Drosophila melanogaster: one gene and its partners. The protein of the gene in region 2 interacts with the protein of the main gene of each other region in a pairwise test. Each region holds a gene or a part of one and is shown on either strand. Other genes may lie near its edges. The genes, in order: CG5721, CG1307 and CG15459.

Region 1 (4,012 bases), on a different chromosome or scaffold from region 2:
CATTCAACTTTAGTTGTATTTAGGTATAATTTGTATTCCTTTGACATTTATCTCTAATGAGAGATACATCTCACACTTTCAGGTGGTGACCTTCTTGAATTCAATTTACCGGGTGTTCGACGAGCGTATCGAGTGCTACGATGTCTATAAGGTTGAGACGATTGGGGACTCATATATGGTGGCATCGGGTCTGCCGGTGAAGAACGGTAATTTATGCAAATTCAGCTGTCAGTCATTCAGTCATTTAAACCCCGCCCGCCGGCAACATCCCACTGCTTGACTGCCCCAAAAAGATTTGCGCTAATTTAAATTTCATTTGTGGCCATGCGCGTAATTTATGCCATGGAACTTTCCGACCCGCTGCCTCTGCAGGGAACAAGCACATCAGCGAGATAGCAACAATGGCCCTTGATTTGCTGGACGCCTCGTCGGTGTTCCGGATTCCCCGGGCAGGAGACGAATTTGTTCAAATACGATGCGGTGTGCACACGGGTCCGGTTGTCGCCGGTATCGTTGGCACCAAAATGCCGCGCTACTGCCTCTTCGGCGACACGGTGAACACGGCCTCGCGGATGGAGAGCACCGGCGAGGCGCAGAAGATACATATCACCGAGGAGATGCACGACTCGCTGCAACAGGTGGGCGGATTCCGTACCGAACACCGCGGCCTCATCGATGTCAAGGTATTTGCAATCGATCAAAATCATTCTTACGAACCTTGAGGATTCTACTTAAGATGTTTACACTGCGTATGAGTAATGTTTGTAAATTACCGTTAGCCCTTAGTATAATTCAGTTCCTTTTAACTCCCATTAGTTCGCTATAGCTTTTTGTGTACCGTGTTTTTTCCATACTTTTAAAACAACTTTTTTTGTTGGGTGAACCTGCAAACTGTTTCATTTTCAGGGTAAGGGTCTAATGAGCACCTACTGGCTGACCTGCAAGGACGGACCGGTTAGGGCTCGCGAGGAGATCTCGTGGCGGGCGGACATACAGCCCGTGTTTCTTGACCACCTGAAGCTGCATCCGCCAACCGACTACAAGCTGCCAAAGCGGAAATGAGATGCAACCAACTGCAAGTTTTCCGGCTAGGCCAAATAATGCTTATCCTGGCCATAAATTCGAGGTGCTTTTCTTTTGGATGTGCATGCATTAGTGTCCCGCTCTCTCAATCTCTCTATTTAAATATCTAAGTATCTTTCCTTTCTATCAAAAAGTTGAAGTTACACGGTGCACCAAGTGTAGATAAAATATACAACATAAAATTCGTCTTAATTTTAAATTCGCTTCAAAATATAATAATTAAATCACTTCCTTGAAAAAAAGTGGAAGTGCAACTGATGCATCGTGTACAACAACTTTAAACGCTTCAATGGCCAATCGTCTTTTTACATGTAATACACAGTGCAAATCACAAGCATGCGGCCAAAATACAGACTTATGTTAATAAAAAATATGCGAGAAATACATTGTTACCATTCGTTTTCCAACCACAGTGATGGGACATATATAAAGAAACCTAAAATCTTTTCTTTCACTTCTTTAGTTATAAAATAAGGTTATAATTTATTTTTTATCAAATTCGGTGTTAGTATTAATACAACAATTTTTTTGAGTGTTCAATGGTGAGTTTTATTAAACCGTACAACGATATGTATCGAATGTAAATCAGCTGGAAGTATGACCGCCCTGCGAAGTGCGATAGTGTGACCGCAGCCACTAAATTCGAACTGTGCCTGTGTGCCTGCGTGTGGGCGTGTGTGTGTGTGTGGGAAGTTACAGAGAGAACAAAGTAAAATTTGAAAAGTTAAAGCTGCAGCTGCTGAGGGCATAGCCAAAATTGGACGAATCACTGCCATGGCCAAGGTTATATCGCAGGACACCTTCGACGATGTTGTGAAGGAGAACGTTGTGGAGTTCTCGATGACTCCTTCGGAGGCGAAAGAAGAGACCATCAAGCAATTCGAGGCACAGGTAAGTAATGTCGACATAGTCATCCAGTAGATTCACTTTAATGAAATGATTGCAGGGCATCAACCTGGCCAACATTATCAAGGACCTGTCCGTCAATCCGCAAACCGGCCAACCTGTCATCAACGAAACGGTGGACAAGATCAAGGAGCACATTGGCCAAAAACTGGAGGAAACAACGGAGCTGCTGGAACAGCTGGCCACCTTGGATGCTGAGTGCAAAAAGTCGCTAGCCCATAGGGTTCTAGCCGGCAAAAATGGAGCCCACGATGCCCTGATCACCCTGTTGGAGGAGACGCTCTCTGCTGAGTCACCCAACGAATCCGTGTTAAAAAAGTCCTTGGAAGCCATCAACAGCCTGACCCACAAGCAGCCGGATCTGTTTGATGCCGAGGCGATGGCCGTGGTTCTCAAGTTACTGGCCCTCAAAGTGGAGAGTGAAGAAGTCACCCTGTTGACTCTTCAATGGCTGCAGAAGGCCTGCATCATGCATGAAATGAACCGCCAGAATATCATGAATACCTCCGCACTCAAACTCATGAAGCCCCTTTTAGGGAAAGGGAAGGACCGCCTGGTGCGTGAACTGACCGCCGTCTTCCGCTTCCTAGTGCTGGATGATGACATTCGCGTTGAGTTTGGATGCGCCCACGAGCACGCCCGCCAAATAGCAGGCGAGGTGCTCATCACCTTGGTGGAACTTTTGCCGGCCTATCAGGATCCTAATGTTCTGGCTGATCTTCTGCTGACCATTGGAACACTGGCTGTGCGTCAGGAACTCTGTACAGCTATCGACGAGGCTGGTGGACTGAAGTCCGTCTTCGAGATCATGAGTTCGAATTTGGATGAGGTGCGTCTAAATAGAGAGGCCTTAAAGTTGCTACGTGCCCTGGCTGGCCAAGACTCCGTGAAGTCACATATAGTACAGCAGGGCGTGGCTCCTATAATAAAGCAATTGCTAGAGACGCACCAGTCCAATGAAAACATCGTTGCCGCCGCTTTGGCCTGCGTGACTACTCTGACACTCCGAGTGCAGGAACACAGTGCCGCCTTTTTCGATACCGGCATCGCCGAAGTAATCGTGGAGGCTCTTCGCGCCCATCCCAAACACAAGATAGTCCAGCGAAACGGAGCGTGGGCCATCCGCAATATGGTGTCACGGTCGCGGAACCAGTGTGAAACCTGGATCTCCTTCGGCGTTGAGGATCTACTAAATATGGCAATGAAGGAGCACCCCAGTGTGGAGCAGGACATCAAGGCGGCGTTGCGCGACCTCGGCTGTAGTGTCCACTTGCGCGAGGAATGGACGGGCACGGCGGAGAAAAAAATTGCCGCCTAATCGCACACACATATGCCTTTTGTATTTTTATATATTTACTGCTAAATTATTACTATTGCTTAATTCATGCATTGGCTAACTAACAAAATCGGCAATCCTCAATACCAATCGCGTGCTAATACCCAACTGGGGCAGTCTCTTATGATCACATGGCTGTGGACTTATTTGCCCAGGTTAAAGTTGCGCAGCGAGCCGGCTTTAAGACGCTGGTTGACATTCCGGGAAAGGGCGGTCGAGGATCTGATTGTGGAAAGACCCTCTTCCTCGGCGCGCTGCGCAAAGGGGTCAACCTTCTCAGAACCGCCCATTCCATTGTAGACAAAATTTGAGCCCGTCGTGGCCGTCAACGCAGAACTACTTGAACTTCCCAGCAGCAGTCTTGGCTTCTTGAAGATTGAATACTGGGGGAATATACGGAATTTTTAAATGGTTAAGTGGAATTCGGCAAAATTATTGCGTTTACCTTTTCACTGAGATCACTGCTGGTTTTCCGTATGGTTCCGCTGGTCATAGACACACCGCCACCGACTCCCTTGATGGGCGATATTTTAGACTTGGCCAGCCCAATGTTACCCTTAGTATTAAGAAGATGCGCCAACCCGACGCTGCTGGATTTAATGTTGAGATATGGGGAGGTGGATTCTTCGATGCGCTTAATATTCTCCTTCTGTAGGGCAGCAAAATATTAGTAGCTTATATTTTCGT
Region 2 (3,849 bases):
TGCCGCTTCCGGTGCAGACTTAGGAATGGACGCTTCAATGGCCATGCAAATGGCGCCGGAAATGCCTGTCAATACCATGAACAACGGAATGGGCATCGATGATGATCTGGATATTTCGGAGAGTGACGAGGAAGACGATGGTTCTCGAGTGCGTATCAAAAAGGAGGTCTTCGACGACGGGGATTACGCCTTGCAGCACCAGCAGATGGGACAGGCAGCATCGCAGTCGCAGATATACATGGTGGATTCGTCCAACGAGCCCACGACTCTCGACTACCAGCAACCACCGCAACTGGACTTCCAACAAGTGCAGGAAATGGAGCAGTTGCAGCACCAAGTGATGCCACCAATGCAATCAGAGCAACTGCAGCAGCAACAGACGCCGCAGGGAGACAATGATTATGCCTGGACTTTTTAGTGATAGGGAATAATTGTTAGTTGTTAGAAAATAAAACGTCGATTTAATAATAGGATTGAGCTTCGCTGTGAAACAATTTTATACACTTTTTACAATGCATTGTTTTAACGGATTTTGAAATACTACAATATGTTCTCTGAAAAAATATTTCCTTTTCATGCCAATATGTTTTTAATTATACACTTTACAATTTATGAAATCTAATTCAAAATATGTTTTTAAAATATAATTTTCATAACTTTAAATAATGCCTAGAAACAAACAAGTGTCACCATTACTTTTCAAAAGACCCTGATATTTTCTGAAAAGAAATAGACCAAATACTGTGGGAAGCTAGATATAATCTTAATGAGTAGACACATTTCATTTTTCAAATATATGTTAGTAAAGGATTTACCAAAACACAATAGTTTTGGAAAAAGGAAATACTCTACAGGGACTTAATTACTTGAGCTAGGATTTTACCACTTGAACCCCTACAAAAACGCTTCGGAGCTTTGCAGTTCCAGGCCGGACTGTCAATCGTTTAATGTTTAATAGCTCGGTTCACAGTTAATGTAATAACGTAAATCTTAGCTTAGCTTGCATGTCACAGTCGTCCTCCACCCGGTGGCCTTAATCTTTCAACCGCTCCACCGGTGCGCCGTATTGCTTTGTGAATTGTCGGGTTGCACTTGAGTGAATTAGTAATGCCAATGGCCTGTGAGAGTTTCCGAAGTGCGGATCTTACAGCAATTTCAGGTGGCCGGTAACCCGGTCGATGTCGGCGGCAGCCGCTGGACCCACGGCCAGCACAGTCTTGGAGTTGGCCTCTATTTGTGTGCGACCGGCGTCGCGGATGAGACACGTGTTCAGTTGCTGTCTCTCGGCCTCCTTCTTGATGGCCATCAGCTCCGCCTCGCTCTCCACGCGAACGGCTATCTTGGCGCAACCGCAGTTCTCCCACGACCGCAGTAGTCGAGGCGTCCTGACCACCGCCCGCTGGTAAGCACCCACCGCTCCGTGGCCACACTGGGCGGCAATTTTGCCCTTGCCCATCTTGAGATCGTTGCGCACCACCAGGACCATCTTAAAGTTGTCGTTCAAGCCTCCATAGCCCTGCAATGTTTAGAAAATTAGCGTTGGTATTATATTATTATAATGTGTATGTGCTATATACTTATGTTAAAAAATCATACTTTAAACTATGTAAAGTAGGACTTTTGAAAACTTCTACCGTACAACAAAAAATGGCACTGCTATTATTGTGACCCCAAGTGTATGCGTTCAATGATGCATTTGGGTCTACAACAAGTTCAGAGTACTAGGTGGATTGGGGCCATTGAATGCCTACCGAGGGCTTTCCTTCTCACCTTATCCGAAACTGAAGCCTCGGAACCGCTAGACACCGAAGATTCCTGCGAGAACGGGGTCGCCGCTCCCTCGGTGACGGAGTCCTTGGCATCGCCTCGCTTCAGGGCGTATCGGTAGCCCACGAAAAAGGACAGCATCACAGCCAGCCCATTGATGATCTGCGTCGGATCCAGCAACTTGTCGCCCATCTTTCTCCGCTTAGTTGATATTATATTTCGCGAGAAAACACCACCGATGGCGCTCACTTCACGTTTTCGCTTGCGGTCACACCAATTGCGGAAAACGTTACTGTCAAATTGTGGTGGCAGCTCGCTTATCGATTGCTTGGTGTGGCAGCACTGTAGCGTATGGGATACTCTTTAATTTTTACCGTTAACTCAGGAATATATTTAAGAACTATTACGAACGCTATTAATTCGAATTTTTGCCACTACGATATATATTATATAATATTACTATGTATTAATAAAGGTTAAGATGCCTCTAATGTGCGCAATTGGTAAGTTATAGGAATAAAAATGGTGATTTATAGTACAGAGTGACCTTTAATCTTAGAACTTCTGAAACATTTATAAGGTAAACACGAAGACCAGAATAAAAGACTAACTTGAACCAACGCCGGGAATTAAATAATGTTTATACCCAAAAAAAAAAAAAGTCACAAAAGGCGGGAGTTTTTGGGAAACAATAGTGTGACCGAACAATAGTTGCACAAAGATCATCACGCACCCGTCACACACCGTCTGGCAACTCGGCCTAAACATACGTGTCGGAAATTTTCTGTCTTCGTGGACGAAGCCGAGAAGTTTTGTTAAGGACCTTTTCAATTGCATTTAAAAAGGCTATTTCCTCCACAAGCACCGCAATAACAGCCGCAGCCATGGGCGTAGCCAGCATGTTGCAGATTGACGAGATGCTGGGCGACTTCAACAGAATGAACAAGCGTCAGGTGAGCAGCGCCGCTTCTCCGGGCAATGCACCCATATATCATCCTGATTCGTGCCCTTTCCCTCCCGCAGTCGCTGTACCAGGTGCTGAGCTTCGCCATGATCGTCTCCTCGGCGCTGATGATCTGGAAGGGCCTGATGGTGGTCACCGGCAGCGAGTCGCCGATCGTTGTCGTGCTCAGTGGCAGCATGGAGCCGGCTTTCCACCGCGGCGACCTCCTCTTCCTCACTAACTACAAGGAGGAGCCGGTGCGCGTCGGCGAGATCGTCGTCTTCAAGGTGGAGGGCAGGGACATACCCATTGTACACCGCGTCATCAAGCTGCACGAAAAGTGAGTTTCCTGGGGCTACGGATATGGAAACCAATCCCAGAAAGCGTCTTTAAGATGAATGGGGCATGATGTCGTACTGGGTGCTTGCTGTTCAAGTAGGCATTTTAACATCTCTGATCGGTTAGGTGGAATGAGCATCATAGTTTCTAATCGCCAGGGGAAGGAACTAAATTAGTGCCACTTTTGTGTAATGCTATTTTTTTAACTATTTGAAATCCTTGTGCACATGAAATGTTATGTAAATTTGTGGACCTCCCTTAAGCTCGTTTATGAGAAGGTGCATGGAACACAGTGGCTAGTAAAAGTTTTCCTACAGCAGTGAAGGCAAAAAGGAATTACATATTTTCTAAAAGGGATTGAAAATAGCTCACATGCCGTATGGAATAGATCATTTTTTATTTTAGATACAATTTGTAGTTTTAGGACACGTCATTAAGTTAAGCTTGTGTTTCGTTGTCTTAAAACATTGTTGTTTTATATTTAGTCACGGGCCAAGATTCCTTTTTATTGTATTCTGTATGATTTCCTTTTGGTTTGGTTTGGTCCCATATAATCCCAATCAATCTTTTCTGCAGAGAGGACGGATCCGTCAAGTTCCTGACCAAGGGCGACAATAACAACGTGGACGACCGGGGCCTGTATGCACCCAACCAGCTGTGGCTGACCAAAAAGGACATTGTGGGCCGGGCCAGGGGCTTCCTGCCTTACGTGGGCATCATCACGATCTTCATGAACGAATATCCCAAGGTTAAGGTAAGTTGAAGGACGTTTGTGTTTTTTTTTCGCCACTAAGCCCGAA
Region 3 (3,742 bases), on a different chromosome or scaffold from region 2:
TTCAAGTTAAACCCACTCACGCGACACGTACACATATATACACGTATAAACATATATTTTAAATTAGCACTTGAATCGGAGCAAGACGACGAATCGAGCGAGAGAGAGAGAGAGACGGCAAGCGAGGGAGAATGAGGAGAGAGAGAATGAGAGAGCGAGAGAGAGAGAGAGACGGCGAGAGAGCGAAAGAATCGGTCGATCGCATAATGAAACCAAAAAGCAAAACGTTAAAGTTATTTCCATATTATATTATATATACATATAAATTTAAATATAAATGTTAGTTGAAGTCCACTCATAATTAAACACAAGGCTTAAACGTTAGACGCAACCCAATTGAATCCAATCCAATCCATTCCCATCCATCTCGAGTCCGAACCCCGCCCAAAACAGTTAATAAGCTACGTAATTGATATTGATAACCCCGAGAACACAAAGGGGCTAAAAACGTTTATAATGATGATCTATTTAAAAGTTAGATGCCGCAAAGAAAACTCTATCTGAACTAAACGGAAGCTAAATAAAATACTTTATAAAGCAATTGCCCCCCGTTTAATTTAGTATCTTGCAACGACTGAAAGAAATGGATCCACCCGGGGGCGCCAAGTAATGGATTGTTAAAGCATAATGCTGAGATAAAGAAGTTCTTCGTATTTATTTTAGACTAAAAATTTAGCAGATCTCTTGAAGCCTACGCCCAGACCTAGCCAACTACTTTTCATCGCTGGTAAAGGACAGGCCGGAAGTGAAGCCATCGCTGAACGCGCTGTACTCCGCCTGCTCCTCCGCCTGCGGCTGGTCGTCGGCCTGTTCCCGGCCCAGTTCCTCCGGCTGTCCCGAGGCGTTCTCTTGGCTGCCTGTGGGCACGCAAGAGCGCGGTGCCGTGCGGCGCTTTAACGGCGTCTCATCGTCCTGGCCGTCGTCACGTTCATCCTCGTCCAGCTCATCCCGCGAGACTTCCACTGCGGCTGCCTGAGCTGGGGAATCGGAAGCGGTGCCGCTGGTGTTGACCGCCGCATTGCCCAAAACGGCTCCCACGACTCCTCGCAGCACCCTGTAGAAGGCGTCGTGCACCTGACCCATCACTTGGCTAGCCGGACGCACTTGCTCCGCCTCGGGCTGTTTATACTGTTGGTACTGGTTTGGCGGCTGAATCTGCTGGCCTCGCGCCCAGCTGCTGTGGCTGCTATGCTTCACGGCTCCCTCCGCCCGACGCTGCGGCTCCTCGCAGGGACACTTGCGCCGCGGAGCAGAGCCTGATCCTCCCGATGTGGGCGGAGGTGGTGGCGGCGGCGGATCGTCGCGACAACCATTGTCATCCTCGCCCGCCGCCCGGCGCTGCTGCTCGCGATCGAACTCGGTCATGGCCCGCTCCGATCGCTCCCGGCAAACGGAGCAGTCGGGATCCGCGCCGTAGACGCCAATGTCGCCATTGAGGGACGACTCGTGGTCCGATTCGCAGCTGCACTTGCCGCTGGCCAACTCGCCGGTCTTGCCGGATCCGCGGCGCAGCTTGTACACGATGAACAACAGGGCCAACGTGGCGTATGTGGCCTTTGCCACCTGCGAAATGGGTCATAGTATATGTATTTGTAAAAAATGTATGTAAAAAAATGTTAAATTAATAATTTTGAATTTCAATTTGGAGCTGAAAATAATATTTTGTGTCCATCAACAGCTCCAAAGCGATGGTTCATTTTATCTTGTGTGCGTTCAATAGAATCACTCTTACGTTAGCGCGTCCATTGATGGTTGTCCCATTGAAGTACTTCTTAAAGCCGTCGGCCATTGCTACTGGACTGGATCTGGAGATCTGGAGATCTGGATTTGGGGTCGGGTCCGGGTGAGAGCTGAGTGTGTTCTGCCTATAGCTCCGAGCGAGAACCTAATGACAAGCAGCGAAGTGCAAAGCTCGGCCAACTAGATTACAAAGTCGATTCATTGGCAGGATTCGATTTTTATTGACTCAACGAGGTGGTACATGAGTTTGGTCCCCAAGCCTTTAACTGTGGCATCGAGGACCGGAAAGGGGGTGCTGATTATAAATAGTTATGGATTGCTGACGGGTCGAATGGGTCGGAGCGGTGGGGAGCCATGACTTCAATGATTTGGCAGCATCGGCGCCCTAGCCATGGAGCATGGCCTGCTGGCAGCCCTTGCAGTAGAGCTTGGTCTCGCGCCGCTTCGTGTTGCGGCGGTGCATCTTGACCAGGACGTAGACGAGTCCCAACGAGGCCCAGGTGGCCTTGGCTACCTGTGGGTTTCGGTGGCGTATTTGGGCGCATCTTGTGTACTGCCGTGTACTGAATCACTTACATTGGCGCGACCACGCATGGTCTGGCTGTTGAAGGCTTCGTTGAAGTTGAAATGATCGGACATCTTTGGATCGTTGTTGACCGGATTGGCGTGGCTTTTAACAAAAGATTAAAATTTGGATTCGATATTCGACCTGTATTTTAGACCGGGATTCGGATTGTGACTTTTAAACGTTCGAAATGAAAGGAATGTTACTGACAGTCGTCAAAGCCGACTCGGGTTTCCCAACTAGAGAGAATGCTGAAGTCTAGTACCGACTAATGGGATACCCATTAATTACTGCTTAAATACTGTGATGAAAATTGAGATATGCAAGAGGCAAATCGAAAGTTTTGGACATTTTCATATTGTACCTTTAACCAACTTCAGAATTCATTGAGCTAAATACCATTTACAATTTTATGAAATTTTTAAGCATGTTACAGCTATAACTATTTTTAAACCAGTTACTAGATTCGTTGAAAATTGTATGTCACACAGAACTTCTTGCCATCCTGGTCGGAATTAGGATCACTAGCCAAGCCGATATGGCTATGTCTGTCCGTATGAAAGTCTTGGAATCTGATATTAACATCGCATATCGATCGACCATTATATATCTAATATATCCTCTACAAATGTATTTTATCACCTAGCTAGCATGTAAACATTCTGGCCTATTTAGCTGTACGCTTCAGTTATGCTAATGCAAACATAAGCCTTTTGTGATATTATAATTTACATTTATTATTTATTGCAGTTAGCTTTATCAGCGATTTGGGCTCATGCCACACGCAATACTACTTATTTCAACGTCATCAGTTGTACTAAATGCACAAATGAAATACATTTCGCCAAATAAATGCCAACTTGCAACTAATTTGAATGCTAATCAAACCGAACTACTCATTTGCATACAAGGTAATAGGTGGTTAAAGTGAGTGTAATGGACTTACTTAAGGGGTTACAAGGCTTATATTTAAAATGCCTGCCTTGTAATTAAATTTTTAAATATATTGGAAAAAAATGGCCACTTGTTATGTGAGTCTCCAGAAAAAAAACAAAAAAACAGCAACCATCTGGTATGCAAAATATCTGGTGGTAGCAAAATATCTGGTGGTATCTGGTGGACTATCAAAATATAAAAACTTTTTTTTCCAGATAGTATATCTTAAAATCAGCATCTTGAAGGAGTATATGTAAATAGCAAACTATTTGTAAAAATAGATTTTATTTTATAATTTTTTAAGATATATACCAAACATTATTACCGATTGTGATTATCTTTACATTGTTTGACCTCAAAACGGAAAACTGGATGCGCGGTATCCATGCGACCCTAACTCTGGAACCGATTTTGGAACCGCCCCGTTAGATCTCAGATTGAAACCTTATTTGCATTCGCATGATCGCTGATGAACACTGGGGAAATGCGGCCCAGCAATGG

The links.
Region 1: the proteins of CG1307 (region 2) and CG5721 interact in a two-hybrid assay, tested with the Drosophila melanogaster proteins (one large-scale study listed by BioGRID).
Region 3: the proteins of CG1307 (region 2) and CG15459 interact in a two-hybrid assay, tested with the Drosophila melanogaster proteins (one large-scale study listed by BioGRID).

What each region holds. Positions count from the first base shown.
Region 1 is NT_033778.4:18,181,836-18,185,847, reverse strand, and holds CG5721 (uncharacterized protein), read left to right. Parts: upstream 1-1,757; 5' UTR 1,758-1,857; coding exon 1,858-1,974; intron 1,975-2,029; coding exon 2,030-3,307; 3' UTR 3,308-3,413; downstream 3,414-4,012. Other genes in the region: CG33958 (uncharacterized protein), read left to right, coding at 83-206, 373-683, 907-1,062; nopo (no poles), read right to left, coding at 3,469-3,708, 3,771-3,974.
Region 2 is NT_033777.3:6,655,378-6,659,226, forward strand, and holds CG1307 (uncharacterized protein), read right to left. Parts: upstream 2,066-3,849; 5' UTR 1,960-2,065; coding exon 1,771-1,959; intron 1,517-1,770; coding exon 1,145-1,516; 3' UTR 653-1,144; downstream 1-652. Other genes in the region: Taf1 (TBP-associated factor 1), read left to right, coding at 1-418; twr (twisted bristles roughened eye), read left to right, coding at 2,652-2,720, 2,791-3,050, 3,626-3,803. UniProt on the Drosophila melanogaster protein: The natural substrate for this enzyme may be peptidyl-tRNAs which drop off the ribosome during protein synthesis.
Region 3 is NC_004354.4:20,411,709-20,415,450, forward strand, and holds CG15459 (uncharacterized protein), read right to left. Parts: upstream 1,874-3,742; 5' UTR 1,790-1,873; coding exon 1,733-1,789; intron 1,564-1,732; coding exon 712-1,563; 3' UTR 633-711; downstream 1-632. Other genes in the region: CG15458 (uncharacterized protein), read right to left, coding at 2,126-2,254, 2,317-2,379.